4 linked regions of the Yarrowia lipolytica genome follow. The protein of the gene in region 2 purifies or fractionates together with the protein of the main gene of each other region. This does not show direct contact. Links are inferred from orthologs where the notes say so. Each region holds a gene or a part of one and is shown on either strand. Other genes may lie near its edges. The genes, in order: YALI1_D33229g, YALI1_D20768g, YALI1_C00422g and YALI1_B02091g.

Evidence for each region.
Region 1: the proteins of YALI1_D20768g (region 2) and YALI1_D33229g purify together in Saccharomyces cerevisiae (affinity purification with mass spectrometry; 5 studies listed by BioGRID). This does not show direct contact. The link is inferred for Yarrowia lipolytica from reciprocal best matches to the Saccharomyces cerevisiae genes CKA1 and POB3.
Region 3: the proteins of YALI1_D20768g (region 2) and YALI1_C00422g purify together in Saccharomyces cerevisiae (affinity purification with mass spectrometry; 7 studies listed by BioGRID). This does not show direct contact. The link is inferred for Yarrowia lipolytica from reciprocal best matches to the Saccharomyces cerevisiae genes CKA1 and CHD1.
Region 4: the proteins of YALI1_D20768g (region 2) and YALI1_B02091g purify together in Saccharomyces cerevisiae (affinity purification with mass spectrometry; 3 studies listed by BioGRID, with this or other methods). This does not show direct contact. The link is inferred for Yarrowia lipolytica from reciprocal best matches to the Saccharomyces cerevisiae genes CKA1 and SPT6.

The regions. Positions count from the first base shown.
Region 1 is NC_090773.1:3,320,994-3,325,039, reverse strand, and holds YALI1_D33229g (uncharacterized protein), read right to left. Parts: upstream 2,162-4,046; coding exon 524-2,161; downstream 1-523. Other genes in the region: YALI1_D33207g (uncharacterized protein), read right to left, coding at 3,637-4,046. UniProt on the Saccharomyces cerevisiae protein: Component of the FACT complex, a general chromatin factor that acts to reorganize nucleosomes. The FACT complex is involved in multiple processes that require DNA as a template such as mRNA elongation, DNA replication and DNA repair.
Region 2 is NC_090773.1:2,075,201-2,078,340, reverse strand, and holds YALI1_D20768g (uncharacterized protein), read right to left. Parts: upstream 1,551-3,140; coding exon 531-1,550; downstream 1-530. Other genes in the region: YALI1_D20784g (uncharacterized protein), read left to right, coding at 1-85; YALI1_D20758g (uncharacterized protein), read left to right, coding at 1,785-1,845, 2,476-3,140.
Region 3 is NC_090772.1:37,595-44,074, forward strand, and holds YALI1_C00422g (uncharacterized protein), read right to left. Parts: upstream 4,822-6,480; coding exon 4,819-4,821; intron 4,688-4,818; coding exon 533-4,687; downstream 1-532. Other genes in the region: YALI1_C00368g (uncharacterized protein), read left to right, coding at 1-458. UniProt on the Saccharomyces cerevisiae protein: ATP-dependent chromatin-remodeling factor which functions as substrate recognition component of the transcription regulatory histone acetylation (HAT) complexes SAGA and SLIK. It recognizes H3K4me.
Region 4 is NC_090771.1:207,314-214,421, forward strand, and holds YALI1_B02091g (uncharacterized protein), read left to right. Parts: upstream 1-1,846; coding exon 1,847-2,026; intron 2,027-2,552; coding exon 2,553-6,593; downstream 6,594-7,108. Other genes in the region: YALI1_B02073g (uncharacterized protein), read right to left, coding at 1-57, 102-280; YALI1_B02082g (uncharacterized protein), read right to left, coding at 737-932, 979-1,088; YALI1_B02149g (uncharacterized protein), read right to left, coding at 7,029-7,108. UniProt on the Saccharomyces cerevisiae protein: Histone H3-H4 chaperone that plays a role in maintenance of chromatin structure during RNA polymerase II transcription elongation thereby repressing transcription initiation from cryptic promoters.

The sequences.
Region 1 (4,046 bases), about 1.2 Mb from region 2:
TTAACAGATTTTGTTGACATTTGTTGAAAGGAATTCCCGCTGTGGGTCACTTCTCGGTGTCACGGGACCAATGAAATCGCAAGACTTGTGTGAATTGGTTTAAAAGCATCAACTAATCAACTAATATTCATCTTCAAGATATTGGCAGTACAGATATTTGAGATATCCACATTTCAACGCGAAATACGAGTGCTGATTTTGTTGACTTTGGAGTGGGCCTCAAGTAATAGTTACTTCAGAGCTCCAGAAATGCACAGTACACTAACAATGGTCCAATTCAAACAAAATATCTGTCACTCAAGACTCCAGAGCAGCTCAGATAATACATTCTTACCAACTGAATGTGTCCCATTCAAATACATCCACCTAATCAACATTAATTCATATATCTACCAGTAGCAAATTCCTTGTGAGACTTTTGCACTCTTGAATCTGTCTCGAATCAGATACGAGTTTGCTTCGTCCGGAGCTGCTATTGTTACCCAACAAGCAATTTCCCGCGACGCGCGAAGCCGCGCCGGAATCACTCGTCATCCTCCTCTCCCGAACTGCTCTCGGCATTCGAGTCAAACTCCTCCGCCACCTCACTATCACTCTCGGCATGAAAGTCCTCATCAGGACTCTCGTCATCCTCATCAGCCGAGCCTCGAAACTCTCCTCCATCATCAGAGTCATCGTCCACCTCAGCCAGAGTGGCAGCCAGCAGCGCCTTCTCCTCAGCAAGATCATTCTTAAGACGAATGCCCTTGGACTTGATGAACGCCTCGAGACCCTCCTGCTCTTCCTTGGAGATGTTGGAGAACTGGTACTCACCCTGGGCGTTTCGCAGCTTGAGAGTCATGTCAAACGTTCGAGAGGTGGTTACCGAAGAACCCACTCGAGACAGAGTGATATCTTGAATCTCGGCAAAGGGAATGAAAACGGGCTTGGAAAGAAACAGGAAATTTCGTTCCAGGGGGTATAGATGGCCCTCAGACGCCTTGAGCGAACAGGAGACACCAGCATGGCCATGCACGGTCTTGAACGAGCCTGGCACGGTCAGTTTTCGGCCAGTGAGACCGCGGAAAATAGATCCAACCACCTGGTGAGCAGACTCGTCGTACGACTGCTTGAGACCCTTGTCGGCGTACTTTTCGGCAAACTCGGCGTCGTCGACATTGAGCTCGACTTTGATTTCGGCCTCACGCAGGAATTGCATCACCAGAAACGGGTACCGAGTCTGGCCCTGTCTGAGAGGAGGATCCAGCTGCACCACGAGAATGTTGTGCAGATCGTCGGGCTTGGGCAGCACAATGAGCCGCTGCACGTGCTTGTACTGCACCATGTAATCGTATGTTTTTCCTCGAAGTCGCATGAAGTTGGCGTACATGTCGATATCGTATCGTCCTCGGGGGATGACCAGGTAGATCTCCGACAAAGACACCACAGCCGTACCTGCCACGGCTCCAATGTCGGCCTTTTCCTTGAGGGTGTCGTAGAAGATCTGGGCGGTGGACTGGACCTCCTCTTCTGATTCGTCGTCGGCGTCGGCGTCGTCGTCTCCTTCCTTGCCTTCTTCTCCCTCCTTCTTCTCCGTCTTCTGCTTCTTCTTGGGGTTCTCATCACCTTCCACAGAAGTTACTCCGGGCACGTAGAATCGCATTTCGACGAGCTCGTCGCCTGCCCGTCCATCGGCGGGCTGCTGGAACTCCAGAGCAACCTCATTTTTGCCCACCAGGTTGGAGTTGGCCACTTCGGCGTAGGGGATCTCGAATGCGGGCTTGTTGGCGACGGAAAAAACCAGCTCGGATCGCTCAAAGTCCGTCTTGCCCCAGTTCCAACCCTTGACGCTGTGCTCGCGCTGCTCCACTGAAATGCCATAGTTGCGCTTCATCACGTTCTTCAGCTCCTCCAGGTTGTCCTGTTCAAACCCGTCAAAGTTGGCGGCCCCGCGGTTTTTCGTCTGGATCTTCATCTCGAATCCCCGAGAGCCCCGACTCCAAAACGCCGCCAGCAGCTCCTCCTTTCCAAGTAGAAACGGCTCGTCCTTCTTGGTCTCCTTCGATCCGCCCATTGACGTCTTCTGCACTGCCTTCCAGCCCAGGCCCGTCTCAACCATCCGCAGACGGCCGTGCGCCTTGCTCTGATTGAGATAGATGCCGTCGAATTCAGTCGTAGACATCGTGTTTTTTTTTGCGTACTGTGCTGTAAATGTGTGAACGATGACGATGGCGCTTCGACGTGCCGGTAATGTATGTATGGTGATTTGGACTCTGCCAGAAAGTTAAACGCGTGGTCACGTGACCTAAGAAGAGGAGGGAGGAGGATGGGGGAGAGGACAAGAGAAGCGGGGTATCGCTGTAGCCCCGAGGGTCCACCAAATTCCAAGTTTGGAGGCGGATTGAGGGGTAATAGGCGTTAGGGAGTCACGTGAAAGTATCATTTTGACGATATCTCCGCCCCAAGCCATTCTACACTGGGTCCTCATTATTGTTACTTCCATCTACACTCCTTGCTAGTTATGTACTAAATATGCACTTAATGAAAAACCCTAACCCTGAATATCCCAACCTCCCCAAGTGAAGCAGGGAAGTGGAAGCGTCAATTGGTTCACCAGACGCAAACTAGCGACGCAAACAGTGAGTGTGACAAGGCGAGGAGGGGAGAGGAGGGGAGAAGGGGAAAGGAGGGGAGAAGGGGAGAAGACGAGGAGATGTGATATAGAAGTCACGCAGAAGGAACGGTATCTCTGTGTATTGAGAGAGAGTGAACTGAAGTCAAGATGAAAAGACAGACTGAATACGACTGATGACGTGTGACTGAGTAAGTGTGAATGAGTATGTGTACATCTCTAAGTTGAGTACGTGTGCATTATCAACAGTTGCTTTCCACTTGCACATCTGGGCCGATTAATCGACTCTGACATGGCTGTACCGTGGTAGGGCATCAGAACAGACAGAACAGACAGAACAGACAGAACTTAACTTGAGCCACGTATCTCGTGGGCAGAATTCAGACTCAGTTTGATCCTGATGTTCCTCTTCTGCTGTTCCTCTTCTGCTGGCTGCCTCACTATTCTGAACTGCTCCGGTCTGTCCAAAGCTCCATAGTCGAGATGGACCTGATTCTACTAGACTGACGGGAAACTGGAAAGGACCATATAGCTGGAGCTGGCAGAATGGGCCATTCCGTCGTTAACGAAGCGTAACCGGACCAAATCTGGAACAGTCCTCCAGTATTCCACCCCTCAGTGCTCATTTCCGTACTAACGCAGTGTCCCTCTACCAGCGGTGGATGCAGATCCCCCCATCGCAACGAATCATCGCTGCGGCTTTTACTGGCATCTTGGCCTACGGCGGTATGAAGATCACCGACTATTTCAACGAGCAGGGCGACATTGAGCGGGAGGCCCAGGCTCTGGTGCTCAAGGAGCATCAGAAGATCAACCAGGCTGTTGCTAACGACCTCCGGAAGGATGAGTAACAGACCGGGAGCTTGTCACTATAGCAGCGGTACCTTCCAAAATCGCATTGTATATAGGAATTTATTGTTTTTTTTGAGTGCCAAAGCCTCTGAGCATTCGTTTCCAGTCGTAATTCATTAATATATATATCTTTGACAGTGGCGGGTGGAATTCACCGCGGAAACCCGCATCAGTTACATGAACCGCCCAAGGAAGGTACCTCTGGCAGCTCTAGACAAGAGACCGCCGCTGACCTGGCCAACAATGTTATTGGCCTTGCCAAACTTGTCACATCGAGAGTAGGCCATGGCGTTAGTGACGGTCAGAGACACAGCAATAAAGACCAGAATCAGAGACAGAAACTGGAACTTGAGCAGCGCCAGAACCGCCAAACACACCCACAAGACAGGGGCGCCATACAGCATCATCCAAAAGACCTTGGAGTCAATGGGATTTATGTACCGCTGGGGATCGGCCGTCTCGAACACCCACACGGACTCGCCCGTCTCCGACGCCTCGTTCCACCATCTCAGGCCCACCATGAGCCGTCCGGCAATGTTTTTGACGTTCCAAAAGTCGGCTGCCAGAAGCAGAACAACCAACA
Region 2 (3,140 bases):
TGAGCATCTTGCTCATCATCCTGCTTCTCCCCAGCTAGAAGCCACCCTGCGCTCAGCTCTGAGATGGGCTAGAGCATACTCTTAGTTCACGATGTTGACCTCTCGCTCAACTGTGAAACTTCACATTGTCTTCAGACGTCGTCAACCACCTATTTACCCTCGGCCATAATGACTGCAAAGTTGTCAACAAACTGTCATGACGATAAGTTTCTGCTCAGCCTCTTTACAGTCGCCTACATTGTCTAAGAATATTCCTTTTATTAAAGTACCGATATACACCCTTCAATGACTGTCTCTTTGAGCATGAGTTGAATTAATGTTTGGTCCAGTGGTGACAGAAATGTTGGAGTCACTGGAAGTCACTGAGTCATAGCTTAGCAAGCGCGTGTAGTGCAAGTTAGCTCATTAATACACGCGCTCAAGACTGGTTGGCGAATCGATGGGGGGGCCCATGTGTCTCACCTTTGCTCGCTCGCGGCCGTTGGTAGACGACCCAATAGAGCTGCTCGTCATCTATTCCTGCTCGCCATCTATTCCTGCTCGCCCTCTTCTCTAACTCTGACGGGCTTGAAGTAATCGTGCGCCATGGCCTCCTTGGCAGTCAGTCTCTCCTGATGGTCGTATCTCAGCAGGTTATCCAGTAAATGTATCGCTTCTTGGCTAATGTAGGCCTCGTTGTCCACGTTGACAAACTTGCTCCAGGGTCGGGCGGGGTAGGTTCCAATGTCGTCGTACTCGGCTCCGAGCTCAATATTGTACTTTTCCAGATAGTCCCAGAGCTTTTCTGTTCCCAGCACCCGTGCGATTTTCACCAGCTGGTCCGTGTTGGAGGTACCATGGAAGAAAGGCTCCTTTTTGAAAATCATGGAGGCAAACATGGCGCCGTAGGACCACAGGTCCAAGGAGTAGTCGTAGAGCTGGAAGTCGACCAGCAGCTCGGGTCCCTTGAAGTACCGCGAGGCCACTCTGACGTTGTATTCGGTGCCCGCGTGGTAGAACTCGGCCAAGCCCCAGTCAATGAGGCGCAGCTTGCGCTTCTCGTGGTCAATCATGACATTGTGTGGCTTCACGTCCCGGTGCATGATGCCCTTGGAGTGGCTGTAGTCGATGGCCTTTAGCAGCTCGTACATGTAGTAGCGAATGTCATAGTCTGTGAATTTGGGGTACAGCGCCCGGAAGTCGAGGTTCTGCACGTGTTCGAAGATGAAGGCCGGCATTTTGCTCTGCGGGTCTCGCACCGTTTCCAGCAGCGAGATGATGTTGGGTCCTCCTGCGAGATTTTGCAGAATCTTGACTTCTCGCTTGATCTTCTTGCGCTTGACGGGCTTGAGCGCCTTGATCACCACCAGCTCTTTGGACACAATGTTGATGCCCTCAAACACCTCCGAGTATTTGCCTCGGCCGATTTTCTTGATGATTTCGTAGTTGTCCTGCTGACCCCATTTGAGCGCCAGCTTGTCGTAGTCCCAGTACGATGGCGGCATCAGGTTGTTCACGTCCGCGTACACTCGGGCCACCGACTCGGCGGCGATATCGGAATCCACGTCCATGATGAGTCTTTAGACGAATGAGGAATGAGGAAAATGTGTCGATGGAGACAGAGACAATTCACAGTCGTTGATGGGTGGGTGGGTGTATGAGGATGGGTATTGGGAGGAGTGTGGCAAACCTTATTTCACATAGACTCTTCTGTGAGTAAGAAAAATGGAGATTGTCACCAGGAACAGAGGCAGTCCGACCTGAACAAGACCCTCGAAAACGACATACAGTGTGCCACTTTGATCATGGACGCCTTGGTCAACCAATACATGGCCGCTACGGGCAACGCCGCAGGTATCGCTGATTGTGAGTATCCAGCTTGGAGTTTACGGTGGAGGGAGTGTGCGACAAAGGTGTGATGGACTATAGATCCACGACCCGACGGAGATAGAGACTGGATAGTGGTAGGAGGGAAGAAGGAATGGGAATCGACTTTTGGACACGTGTTTATAATTCTGGATGTTGTTGCCGCGGCTTTTTCGCCGCAGATGTGGCGGTGGCGGTGGTGGTAGTGGTGGTGGTGTGTTCTCTGCCTTATGATCCATCTAGGTCTAGACCAGAAGATGATCGAGATTTGATAGAGATGGGCTAAGTCGATGAAGGATGAACCGTTGACAGGGAAACATGTGCTTTGGTTGCTTTTCTTCTTTCTTTATGGTCGGGAAGTTGTGGTTCAGCTGTTATCTGAGTCATGCGGGGTAAGATATGATCTGAGGTGATCTAGACCGGTCCATGGATTGACTGGGTTGGTTTGGGTGTCTGTTTGGTGTCTGTTCGGTGCCTGTTTGGTGTCTGTTCGGCGCCTGTTTGGGTGCCTTCCAGTGGCAAGTGGTAATATCGTCTCTCTGGTGCCCTACCCTCGTATCTTGATCATCATCTCCTCCCACTATGCCCCGTCTCTTCCTTCCCTACAACTACCGCTTCATGCTAACACAGTGATCACCACGGACCAGGCTAAACTGGTCGATCTCGTGCAGCTGCTCGGAGAATACCTCGTTGACGAGTCTGCCAAAACCCGACAGACCGCCATCCAATGCATCTCTGACGTGCTCAAAGATCTGCCTACTGACAAACTGACCAAGCAGCAACTCACTGTCATCTGCGAGTTTCTCAGCGAACGTCTGGCCGACGAGCCCGTCACGGGCCAGGTTCTCGACGGCATGAACGCCGTGGTCACCATGTCGGCCATCAGCTCTCTGAGCGTCAAAAAAATCGTGGACAGCCTCGTCGGCTACTACCTGCCCTCTTCACATGTGCAGGTGGTCAGATACAAGGCCTACGTTCTACTCCGATACTTGACTGAGAATAAGAGCCAGTCGCTCAAAAGCACTGCTTCAGCCCAGGAAGGCTTCATCAAGTGTTTCCTGACCTGCACCAACGGCGAGAAGGACCCCCGAAACCTGCTGGAGTCCTTTGCTATCAACGAGTGGATCAGCAACAACCTGACTGTGCCTGAAAACGACGTGGAGCCGCAGTTTGACGCCACCTTCTGCTACTTCCCCATCACCTTTAGACCCCCCAAAAATGACCCCTACAAGATCACAGCTGATCAGCTAAAGGTGGCGCTCAGAACCGCTCTGGCGGCCGGAAAACAGTACTCC
Region 3 (6,480 bases), on a different chromosome or scaffold from region 2:
TGTACAACGTCTACTGCCAACATTACATGACGCCTGATCTGCTTGAACAGCATGAAAACGAACTCAAGGAGATTGAAGAGAGCGGCTACGAGTACAAACAACACTTTCTGGACACATGTTGCAAGGGAAATCTTCTCGACTACGGCTCAGACCACACAGATCTAAACTACAAGTTTTCGCTGAGGAAATTCACAGACCACATCAACCCAACCACAAAGACAAGCCATCCAGCGCCCACCTCACACTCTCTCCAGAGCACGCTGAGATTCTCGTTACTGGAGACCCAAGGTAACATTAAGAGAAGACGATTCTTCGACCATAATATCAGCACTCCTGTGACGATCTTCCATCGAGAAAACGCTCTAAGCAACGACACTGATCCAAGTTTGCCATTGCCAGTACGATCCGTGGCCTCCTTACCTGAGAAGCAACCACCACTACCGGCTTACGAGAGCTAGTCACACCGATATAAAATACAAATATTGATTACTTTAATATGATTACATGATGCGTTACAGTAGACTTTGGAAGTCTACTTTTTGGCGGCTCCGCTGACCTTCTCGTACATTGCCCGGATACGGTTACTCTTGACTCTGCTGGGCCAGAAGAAGGATGCAAACGCCCACAGATGCTTGAGAGTCTTCTCCCGCTTCTTATCAGAGACCTTCTGGGCTTCGGAGTCGATGTGGTGGCCCACCGTGGACAGCTCCTTCTTGAGGACCTCCAGCCAGGCCTTCTTGTCCAAACCATCCTCGCCCTTCTTGAGGCGCTTCAGAGACGCCTTGACAGGTTTGAGAGTCGTTCGACACGCCTCATCGTCCATTGACTCATAGTCTGAGTAGTCGTCAGCCGTGGGAGGTCCAGGAATCTTCTTGGGGACAGGAGTCTCTCGCTTGGGAGTCTCTCGCTTGATGGAAGGATCTCGCTTGATGGAAGGATCTCGCTTGATAGCAGCCTTCTTGGGAGGTTGAGGAGTGGACACTGCGGGAGATTCGCTCTTTCGAACACGCTCCTTGATGGCAATTCGCTTCTTGTTGCCATCGTTGTTGGTGTGAACAGCCTCGCCCTTGAGAACAGAGATGAGGTAGTCAACTCGACGACCGAGGTGAACGGCACCAGGAACCTTGGCTCCAGTCTTCTCTCGAGCCTCCTTCTTGTCAACTCGGTGCTCCTCAAGGTAGAACTTGTCTCCAAATTTGAGACGTGGATCGTCTCGAATGAAGGTCCAGGCTCCATAACCGTACTTCTTGGTACCAATGAGCAGACGAGCGTCACAGTCCTCGTCCCACTCACAGTTCCAGCCATGCACACTCTTGAGAGGTTCGTCGAACTTGAAAGTGTCCGTCACCTGGCTTCGAATGAGCTTCATGTCGGCTGGTCGTGAGATGAGCAGTTCGGCGTTGATGTTCTTGACGCCCTGGAAGGTGAAAAGAACGGCCTTTTTGGTGTTGGAGGGCTTCTTCTCGTCCAGGGCAGTATCTCCACCGCCTCGAGAAGCAGCAGCCTTTGCCGCAGCAGCGGCAGCAGCTTCAGCCTCTTCCTTGATCTGCTTTTCTCGCTCCTCAACCTCCCGCTTACTCTGGTCAATGAGGTCAAAGTAGGCTTCCTTGATGAGATCGGACTTTCGCTGGGGCAAAGTACCGTCGTTGAAAAGCTTATCCCACATGACGGAGACGTCGCCGTAACGTAGAATTGTTCGGTACAAACCTCTGATCTCCCGCTCGTTGAGGAACTTGTCCTCCTTCTTGCGCTTGACCACACGCCGCCCTCCACTCTCCTCATTTTCGTCAGAGGACTCAAGAGCAGCAGTGGAGGCACGCTGAGAGGCAGCTCGACGTCGATTCATTAGATCCATCTGTTCCTTGACGTACTCCTCGTCCTTTCGACGCAGATCGTCAGCCTTGATCTTGGCGAGCTCGTTGGCAGGGATAATGTCGTCCCAATCAACATCGGCCTTGTAGTCAGTGACCTCAAACTGCTTAAGGAACTCCTCGCCGCCAAGATGACTCTCGCCGAGATCAGGAGTGGTGATATGGTCCTCTGCGTGGTTCAGAACATCGTCTAGGTTCATGTTCTCCAGCTTGTCCTGGTTATCGTTGGCCTTGAACATATTTCCGGCGCCAAACTTTAGGATCTCAGACAGCTCCGAGGTCGACGGCTCAGTCTTTTTGTTGTTGGAAGAACCCTTGTCGGTGATACCAAGGGAGATGATGGCGTACTCCAAAATCATCTTCTTTCTGGCACGCTCGAGAACCTGCTCTTCAACAGTGTCCTTGGACACAAATCGATAGACCATCACGTGGTTCTTCTGACCGATTCGATGGGCTCGAGCCATGGCCTGCAGATCAGCCTGGGGGTTCCAATCCGAATCAAAAATGATGACTGTATCGGCCGTCATCAGGTTGATACCCAAACCTCCAGCTCGAGTGGACAGCAAGAAGACGAAGTCGTTACTGTCAGGGGCATTGTAATGGTCAATTGCAATTCGACGGGTGGCAGAGGGGACAGTACCATCCAGACGCTGGAATTGGTAGCCCTTAATCTGCAAATAATCGCCTAAAATGTCGAGCATTCGAACCATCTGGGAGAAAATCAGAACTCGATGACCGTCCTTTTTCAGCTGAGTGAGCAGCTTATCGAGAAGAACCATCTTACCAGAGGTCATAATCATGCCTCGGAAGACGTTTTCTCGAGAAGCGCCGTTCTCAGCCAAGCTGAGGAACTTGCTCTCGGCAGTGGGGAACAGGTACGGATGGTTGGAGGCCTTCTTGAGCTCCGTCATGATGTTGAGAAGTGACATCTGGTGACCTCCGGTGGCTCCGGCGTTCAGAGCCGTGTAGTTTTTGGAAATGATGTTCTTGTAGTAATCCTGCTGCATGTCGGACATTTCGACTCGCAGAATTCGCTCTGTCTTAGAGGGCAGTGATTTCTCGACATCCTTCTTGAGTCGACGCAAGATGAAAGGCTGCAGGCGCTTATGAAGCTCACGAATGTAACCCTCCTGCTCTTCGTCAGGGTTCTCAAAATTAATTTCCAGATCGATGGTGAGCTTGCCAGGCATCAGGAAGTCAACCAGAGCAGCCAGCTCCTTGATGTTGTTCTGCAGCGGAGTACCGGTGATGAGCAGTCTATTTGCGACTCGGAACTCCTTGAGAGACTCGTAGAGAGCTGACTCGGCGTTCTTGAGACGGTGGGCCTCGTCAACAGCCAGGTACTGCCACTTGATGGACCCCAGCTCGGCTCGGTCCTTAAGAATGTACTCGTAGGTGGTCAGAAGAACATTGAACTTGGGTTTCTTGTTACCAGTTTTGTTGTAGAATTCGTGGTCACGAAGTGCTTTTCGAGACTCGGTGTTGCCGAGATATGCGAGGTAGTTGATACCAGGCGCCCAGAACTCAAAGGTCTCCTGCCAGGCAGGCACAGTAGACAGAGGAACTACCACCAGGTGGGGCCCGTGCTGCTTTCGAGCGTACACAAGCCATGAGAGAAATGCAACGGTTTGGACGGTTTTACCGAGTCCCATTTCGTCGGCAAGAATACCGTTTTCGTTTCGAGACCACAAGAAGGCCATCCAGTTGATTCCGGTCAGCTGGAAGTCTCGAAGTTCACCACCCTTGATGAAGCCAGGCTGCTCGGTAAGCTTCTCAAACGGAGGACGTGAGTTGGCAGGGTAGACTGCGCTCTGGCTGGGATTGATTTTCGAGTTGAGCCGGTCCTGGAACCGCTCGACTTCGTCCTCGGCAATCTTGGCGATCTCCTCGGCATCTTCCCAGGTGGCGTCCGAGTAGTTGAGTCGCTTCCACTTTACGAGATACTGCAACTGAGTGGCTCCATTGTCGACAGCGACACGATCTGATGCAATGATTCGCTCAACAAGTTTATACTCAGCGTACTCCTCCTGTTCGCGCTCGCGTCGCAGCTCCATGGCCTCGATATCCTCGGGGGATGCATCTCGCTGCAGCTCTGCATACTCCAGCACGTTGAGCTTGATGTAATTATCGACTCGCTTGATTCCCTTGAAGCCGGCCAGCGAATCGTACGTCTCCCACGTGTTGTGCAGATGCGAGTAGTTCTGCCACTTGATGTAGAACTCGAGGTGTCGCTTGGCGTCAAACAGATCTGTAATCTGCGAGTCGTCGTCGCCTTCTTTTCGACGATGGTCCAGCACCATATCCACCGCCTCGGTGGACGTGGTGGTGGCGTAGTCGTATGTGTCATTAGCAGCGGCATCACCGTATGCGTCCTGCAGAGCGTCCTCATCCTCGTCCTCCAGAAATTCGTCATCGTCATGGTCAATATTGTAGTTGACCACCTTGGCGTTACGAGACGAGAACCGCAGGTTCTGGTAGTCGGGGGACGGCTCTCGGGCAGACGACTTGTTTCGTCCACCCTTGCGTCTGGAAGAAGACGATTTCTTAGCCTTCTTGGTCGGTGCGTAGTCGTCCTCCTCAGAGTCCTCATCGTCCTCCTCTGATTCCTCATCATCCAGAGACATTTCGCTCTCGTCGGAGAGGACGATTCCGTTGCTCTTTTTGGCCTGCTTCTTTCTCTGGGGACGTTTGGGCACGTCCTCTTCCGACGACGAATAGTCGACGTATCTCTTGCGGGCCTCGTTGGCCGTAGTCACCGCTGATCTCCGGGACCGTCGCAGCCCATAGAGCTCGGGGTCGTCGTTGAAGTCGGGGTTCTAGGGTTAGTAACAGCAACATGGTGACTTTTGTGGGTAGATAGAGCATCGTAGCCTGTCTCTACCATCTCTTTGTGACAGTTATCACCCACTTATTCTCCACCATGCCATCTTCAGTCCAGTGTACTCACCATTGTTACCACAACCTGCTAATGGACGTATATCAAACGCTGTGGGCGGCGGGGAAAATGCAGAGGGGTTGATGACCTTCTGTCTGTGTTTCTGGCGTCGTGGTTGTGCTTTTGTGTGAGGAAAAGAGACGTGATCAAGTCTCTGGTTCCTTCTCCGTTGTGCTGTTGCGCGGTTCTGTGAGCGATGGATGAAGAGAAAATGTCGGCAAAAAAAAAGAGCGTGACGACAGCAACACAGTAATGTGTATATGCAGAAACAGTGGGGATGGTACGGGTTATTGTTTGTGGGAGAGTGGAATGAATTGCGCTATGAAAGATACAGAGTAAGGACATGAAAAGTTACGGCGGAGACACAATCACAACATCGTCATGGTTGTCCCCGAGATTCTACGTAAGGAGTCACCACAGCGGTAGACAGAGCTTCACGCCCTGTGTTTACAAAGCTTCACACCAAGAGTTCTTCCGCCAGGTGACGCGTCTGGCGATGTCAGTCACGGAGGTGAGCAGCAGAGTACATGAGCACGCGTGTGGGCACCATGGCTGCGATGATCCGGGCGACCCAGCCCTTGTGCGACGCCCTAGAGCACCTCTGTAGGTCCTAGACGGTGCCACGAGCTCTCTGACGCCGTAGCCACACTCCAAAAACGCCCCGATACACGTCCAAAGCATATTTGGATATGATACCACAGGGCCTAGGAGATGGCGGGGACACAGACAGGACGTGACCAGGACAGCGCCGTAGTGTAGTGTCCAGCGGGCGTGGCACAGGCGCAGACCAATGCCACAGTGTGTCTGCGGTGCGTGTTCATCTCGTCGACGAGACGCGTGACTTTGAAGCGACAGTGGTTGCCAAACAAGAGGTCAGGGGCGGGTACTTTGTCTGGCTAGAGGAGGAGGAGTTTGGGCGATAGCCACATTTGTTAGCCTGAGGTGCCCTAACCGCATTTTAGGGTTCTGGCCAATGGGAGAAGTTCTGTACAAGAATCTTTCAAACCCTTTTCCCCGGCAAGATGCCACTTACCCGGCCAGAGTTTAATATGTACGCGGCGACAAGGATATGGAGGGTTAGGGTGTTCCTGATTGGGTAGACACTGACTTTGAGGTCGTCCAGATGCTGTAACATGACTGCAACTATGTACTTGTGCACTTGTACGGTATTGTTCTTATAAAGTAGTAGATCTCCACATGTTGATTTAAGCTATATTATTTGATATCTCTTCCTCCCAGCTCTCTACAGTATGTGCAGTTTTCCTACAGTAAATTCCCAACCTTTTAGCTACAGTGCAGCTTTCATAATCTGATGTGAATAGTAGGAGAGAATGTGGCTCATATAGATCACGACATAGGAGAAGACACTGTGACAGAATGGGTACAATTTCTGTTGGTACTGTTATCACGTGCGTACCTGACACATAGTTTGGTTGTACCTGGTGCCTGGTGAATGTGTCATCACGAAATTCTCAACTGTCCGTAGTATGGCATGGCTCTTTCACGCCACCAATGGCAAGCCGGAAAGGAGAAGTGAGTGTTTAGGAGGAATTGAGGACAGCAGAGAGGGTATCGCGTGATACAATGTTTGTCGTACCTGTTTAAACAGATAAATGTGGGCTTTTATCTCTTCAGACCCCCTCCCACGCTTTCAAACACGTGTCTCCTCTTCTC
Region 4 (7,108 bases), on a different chromosome or scaffold from region 2:
TCGTCGTCGGCGGCGTCGGCGGCGTGTTCCTTTAGCGTGAGCAGACCACGAGTACGTCTAGTGGCATGGGCGACACGATCTTCCGGCAAATGGCCTAGGACAGTTGAGGTACTTCTTCATTGGCGATTCCTTTGTATCGGGCAAATCTCGACTTAGGAGCCATCAGGTGAAGACGGCAACTCAGCTGCAGCATGTGTAGCGGATTGTCACCTCTGTAGTTCTTAGTTAGAAACTGGTTGGCCTTGAGACAGGTTCGTTTCAACCGTGATTCCAACGTCATTCCAACGTGATTCCAACGTCATTTCAACGTGATCCAACGTGATCCAACGTGATCCAACGTGATCCAACGTGAGTCGTTCTTCATAAACTGGTCACGCCAACTGTCCTGGACAAGGACATGTTCAGCATCCAGGCCGTGGGGTGGCGTTTGAGGCCAAAGAGAGCATACTGACGAAGAGCTTTCAGCTTTCGATAATATTCTCACGTAGTTCTTTTCCACGTTGTCCTTGGAGTTGAAATGAATACCCGGGTACTGTACAGTAGCACTCAGGGATGGCGGTGAATTGGCAAAGATGCCAATAGTGTGCGTTCAAGAATAACATCAGATAGCGAGACTAGTTGCTGGGGAGACTCGACACGCGGGATAACAGCTCTGGTCGGATTGAGACACTTTGAGGAGTTCTGTGGGGTCCTCATCCTTTGGTGTAGGAGGATCACGAAAGGTTTCATTGAGTGCCTATTCAAAGAAAGAGGCCCCAAAAGAGACCTTGAACTGAGTCCAAAAACCCGACATGGAGCTTGTAGATGAAGCGGTCATGCCTGGAGCGCATTCGTTTTGTTTTTTGAGGCCTTGAAGGCATACCGGCTCACAAACTCTTAAGCCCCGGGGTTGTCGCATTCGGCCCGGAGACAAACAGCTTTCTGGAGTCCGACTGGATGGGCTCCGTAGAGAGATTCTCAGGTCAAACGACTGTCAACCATCCCTCAGTCGGGGAAGATACTCTGGGGAGTATATGATGTTCTCTCCAGGTGCCTTTTCTGACGAGCCCTGGCTCTATGAGGGACTGAAACTTGAAGAAGCTGTACATTGATGGAGACAAATCCGATTAGAAGCTCGCCAGCTCAATAATCGCCTCGTCTGCTTGTGTGAGTGTCGTTTGGAGGTTGAGACACTGTCGTGGTGTGGATCGTACTCAGGGTCATTAGAATTGATTAAAAAATCAGGGTAGAACTTCGCTTTTTCACCGGCTATCTCATTTCATCGTAGTTGTAGTTTGAACCAAATTATTCCACACGGTATGGACTCGTACAAGTCTCTGACCTGGAAGTGTTGTTTTCTTTGTTTTTTTTTTTATTTTTTTATATTTTTCGCCAGTTTTCTAAAACGAATTTATTTTTTTATTTTATTTATTTATTTATTTTATTTTATTTTATTTAATTTTATTTAATTTATTTAATTTAATTTAATTTAATTCTATTTAATTCTATTTAATTCTATTTGAAAACTCGGTTCAAAACTCCCACTGGAAATTTTAAACTTCCTCCGACTCGGAGAGTCTATCCAGTAAATAAAAATGGGGAAAATAGACAGAATTAGGAGGCGTGTGTTTCTGTGATCACGTGATTTTCCTGGTTTTCTGTATAGTTTTTTCTGTTTATTTTTCCGTCGTCTTGATCGACCATGGTTTTGTGGTGTTTTCTTTTGGGTTTTTATTTTTATTGTTTTTATTCAGACGAATTTTTTTTTATTTTTTTTGCTCGTTATTCCCACCTCTGTTCCACGTGACCTAACCCTGAAAAACATATTGTTGTCAGCACCACCACAACACGTCAACACCAACCCACCATGTCGTCCCCCGCTAGTGCCAGCGACGTTGATTCGGTCAAGGTCAAGATGGACGAGGACGAAATCGACGTCCGTGATGACGATCGTCACGAAAACGGCGAAGACAACGACAATGACAATGAAGAGATGGATGATAGTAGTGAGGAGGAGGATGATGATGATGAGGAGGAGATTGCTAGGGTGAGTGAAGTGTCGATATGACGAGATGACGAGATGACGAGATGACGAGATGAGCGAAGCGAATCTCGAGTGGATTTGGAGAGATGAGGAATCGAATCTCGATTTGGAGAGACGAGGAATCGAATCTCGAGTGGATTTGAGATGAACTAAGCGAATCTCGATTCCATTAAAAGACTGGAGATTCGTTTCGCTCATCTCCGTAGTGCCGCGGGTCTCATCTCCATAGAGTCGCGGGTCTCATTTGATGCTGGCAATGTTCTGTCTGGTTGGTTCAGTTCAGCGGATCACCAACCACAGTTTTCATCTGAGAAATCACAGTTTTCATCTGAACAATCGCGGTTGCCATCAGGAACAATCCTAGCACAGTAAACAGATCCAAGACTCAGTCAATCGTCGTCTTAGAATTACTGGCAGTGCCAGATCCCGCTGACGACGAGATACTCGCCGTTCTATCCAGTCTCGGCACTCGACTGTCTAACCTGACACTGCGCACTACTGGAGCTGCTCCAACATAATACTAACCCAGGTCCGACAAGGCTTCATTGTGGACGACGACGAAGAGGAAGAAGAAGTGGACAAACCGAGACGAAAACTCAAGAAACGACGACGAGTGATCCCCGAAGACACCGACGACAAACCCCCCACGCCCGCCGAGAACGACCATCTCGACGAAGATGATTTGGACCTCCTCATGGAGAACACGGGCGCGCCCCGAGAACGGCACTTTAAGCGTCTCAAGCGAGCAGGCGATGACGACTCCTCCGACCGCCAGAAGGGACTCGCCGACATGTTCTCCGACGAGGAAGAACAGCCCGCGCCGGTCGAACAGCGCAACGAGTTCGACGACTTCATTGAAGACGACGAGTTCAGTGAGGATGACGCACCAACACGGGGACGTGAGTCGCAGCGAGAGTCACGTGCCACTGGCGCTCCGGCCGCGTTCCTTTCCAAGGACGTGGGCATCGATGATGACAAGCTCAACGAGATCTACGAAGTGTTTGGCGACGGAGAGGAGTACGCATGGGCCCTGGACGCGGAGGAGGACCGCGAGCGTGCCCAGGAGGAGTACGAGGACGAGGGACGTGCTGGTCCAGAGCTCAGAGACGTGTTCGAGCCGTCTGAGCTGAGAGAACGACTCCTGACCGACGAGGATAATGACATCCGGGCACGTGACGAGCCCGAGCGGTACCAGCTTCTGCGTCAGTCGATCGACAAGTACGATCTGTCGGACGAGGACTTTTCCAAGGAGTGCGAGTGGGTGGCTAGCCGTTTGAAGACCATGAAACAGGAGCATGTTCCGCCCCACCTCGATTCCGAGTACGAGACTGCGGTCTCCAAGGTACTGGAGTTCATTGCCAAGGAGAATCTCGAGGTTCCGTTCATCTGGCATCATCGTCGAGACTTTCTTACCCATGTTTCGAAACATGAAAAGTTCAAGGCCAAGGTTGAGGATGACGAGTATGAGCCGACGTTGGAGGCACCTGTGGCATCCACCACCGAAGAAACCAAGGAGATTGAGTACACAACCGTCGAGTTGCTGTCTCTGGACGACCTGTGGATGATTGTGCAGCTTGATCTCGATTACCACGGCATTGTGGAGAAACAGCAGCAGCTGGAGCGGTTGCGAACCCAAGCGGGAGTGTCCAAGACTGGAAACCATTCATTCATCAACGATTTCGCCAACTCTGCCTCGTTGCAGGACACTCAAGACGCCATTGAGTATGTGCAATTTCGGTTTTCCGGCGAGCTCGGCGATTTGCAGTCCGGGTCGTCGAAGCGACATTCTCGGTACGCCAGATACGACCGAATTCGAGCCAGCAAGCTGTATGGTCTGGTCAGACAGTTTGGTATCTCCTCCGACGAGTTTGCAGAGAACCTGGAAACCTCCACGCGTATCAACTACACAGAGGATAACGCGCGAGCTCCAGCTGACCTTGCCACCGACTATTTGAACGATTCCAGCCTGGTCCTGAGTGACGCCGCATCGGCGCTCGAGAGCGCGACTCAGATGTTTGCCATGGAGCTGGCATTTGACCCGCGGGTGCGGCGGTATGTGCGTCAGCAGTTTGCGCAGCTCGCCAAGATTGACGTGTATGCAACCGAGGCGGGTTCCAGTCAGATTGACGAAGCACACCCAGCTTACGAGTTCAAGTACTCGCGAAATCTGTCATTTGAGGAGCTCAGAAAATCGCCCAAACTGTACCTTCAGATGCTGCAGGCCGAGGCTAAGGGCCTGGTGAATGTCCGAGTGTCGTACCCTGATTTCAAAACCAAGTTCATCGATCTTCTGCTGAGTAAGCTGCAGAGCGATGGCGTGTCTGACATTGCCAGTCAATGGAACACCCAGCGACGGGCGGTGGTTCGAATTGCAATGAAGACTCTCGTTCCCATGGTCACTCGATCTATCAAGGAGGAGTTGAGGAACGACTGTGAGCGGCAACTCTTCTTTGAGCTGCGTCGCATGTTTGGCAGAAAGTTGAACCAGGCTCCTTTCAAGCCGCGAAACTACGAAAAGGGCACAGTTCCAAGAGTGTTGGCGCTTTCTGCCGGCCAGGCTGATTTTCGACGAGACGCCGTGGTTGGCGTTTTTGTCGATGAGGAAGGCCGAGTGGCTGAACGGGCCAAGCTCGGAGCTCCACAAACCCAGGAGTTCACCAACGCGCTGTCCGAGATGGTCAAGCGTCGAACTCCCGATCTTATCGCCTTCTCGGGCCAGACAGTCCAATCCCACAGACTCAAGAGCGTGATTGAAGAGGTTGTTCGAACGCAGGGTCTGGAGGCCGAGGGAGAGCCTCTGGAGGTGCGATGGGTGCAGGATGAGGTTGCCTGCCTGTTCAGAAACTCCGCCGGTGCCCTGGTGGAGTTTGCAGACTCGCCTCCTCTGGAACGGTACTGTGTGGCTCTTGCGCGGTATGTTCAGAGCCCCCTGCTGGAGTATCTTTCGCTGGGCAAGGAAATCAAGGCGATTCCCATGGTGGATTTCCAGTCGTTGATTTCTGAGGACCGCTTCTACGAGGCCGTGGACTCGACTTTTGTCGATTACGTCAATCTCGTGGGAGTCGACATCAATGAGGCCATTAGAGACGCTTACGTGGCTCGAATGCTGCCCTACATTGCTGGTTTGGGCCCCCGAAAGGCGTCTGGTCTGACTCACAAAATCCAGTCTCGTGGCTATCTCGGCACTCGTCTGGATCTCATCACCGAGAAGCTGTGTGGAAAGAATGTCTTTATGAACGTGGCTTCGTTCCTGCGTCTTCCTTACGACAAGCGATCGGTTCGTCACGAGGAGACGGAACTTCTGGACGCCACTCGAATCCATATTGAGGATTACGAACTGGCGAAAAAGATGGCTGCTGATGCCCTTGAGCTCGACGAGGAAGATCTTCTGGAGTTTGAGTCCGAGGGAGGAGTTATTGCTCAACTGATGAAGGAGGGCGCCGAGAAGCTCAACGAGCTCATTCTGGAGGGCTACGCCGAGGAACTCGAGCAGAAACTCGGCAAGAAGAAGCGGTACACTCTGGAGATGATCCGAAGAGAGCTCATCAACCACTACGAGGAGCTGCGGGAGCCGTTACACGTGCTGACCGACCTTGAGGTCTTCACTATGCTCACCGGAGAGACGGAAAAATCGCTGCATCCCGGTTCCGTCGTGGCGGTGCAGATTAGAAGAATCTCCGACAGATACCTTGCGGTGCGTCTTTCGTGCGGAATTCAGGGCAACGTGACCCAGGACCGGATCACCGACCAGCGAGGAGTGCATCCGTCGGCGCTGTTTCACCATCAACAGACGATTCGAGCGGTCGTCATGGAGGTGTCATACTCGAATTTCTCCGCAGAGTTGTCGTGTCTCCACCGAGACATTTCTGACGCGCAAAAACGAGCCCGTCAGGTGAAGAGACCGCGAGATCAATGGGACTTTGAAGCGGAGGCCGCCGACAAGTCCGCCCAGGAGGTGCGTCGTGAGGTGGAGCAGCGAAAGACTCGAGTCATCAAGCATCCTCTGTTCAAGCTCTTCTCTGGCTCCGATGCCGAAAAGTTCCTCTCTACACTTCCCCGTGGAGAGCTTGTCATCAGACCCTCGTCACGTGGCACAGATCACATTGCCGTCACGTGGAAGGTCGGTGATGGCATTTACCAGCACATTGACGTCGTGGAGCTCGGCAAGGAAAACGAGTATGCGCTTGGAAAGACTCTCATGGTCGGCACCTCCAAGTACTCCGATCTCGATGAGCTCATCGCCATGCATGTCAAGTCCATGGCTCGAAAGGTAGACGAGCTGTGCCATTCGGACAAGTACTCGGCCGACTCCATTGCCGAGACGGAGCAGAGTATGGACTCGTATCTACGAGGTGGTTCGAAACGAGCCGTGTACCGGTTTGTGCTGTCGTCCAAAAAGGCTGGCTACTTCCATTTGCTGGTTAAGACGGACCAGAAGAGTCCCATGCTTGACTGGCCCGTCAAGGTGATTCCTGGAGGCTACCAGTTGGGTGGAGAAAAGTACCCTGATGTCATGAAGCTGTGCAACGGGTTCAAGACCTTGTTCAAGAGCAAGACTCAGAGAAGATAGTTGTGTATATTAATTGATTGTTGTAATGAAAGTAATCCGAGAGCGAGTCGTAACGACGCTGTTGGATGTGTCTTGGGCTATCCATTCCTCCAAGTGTTTCGTTCGTGTACGCGCACACTTTCACATTCTAGTACTGTACTACAGAGACGTCTACAGTATCTCTTCATCCTATATCGCCCTGCAGCTGAATCATCGGACCTCTGTAGCTGGTCGCTTCGTCCTATCTTTCGAGCGAACGTCGTCCGTTATATCTCGGAAACTCCACTGCGTGCTTGAAGTTGATATTAGCTCTGGTGTCCAAACAGGACTAAAGCCCGAGTAAGATTGGTGATGGCAGATCGCTTGTCGGGTGCAACAGGCGAATATGATAAGCGATTGCGACACTTTTGCCGAACATGTCAAAGTCAGATAATCTAGTAACAAACGAAACCTCTCCTACGTCGAGGTTCCAGTTTGTTTCTGTCGCAGTTCCCACTCCTTGGCCCCCTCCATGATCAAATCAAACACGGGATCCT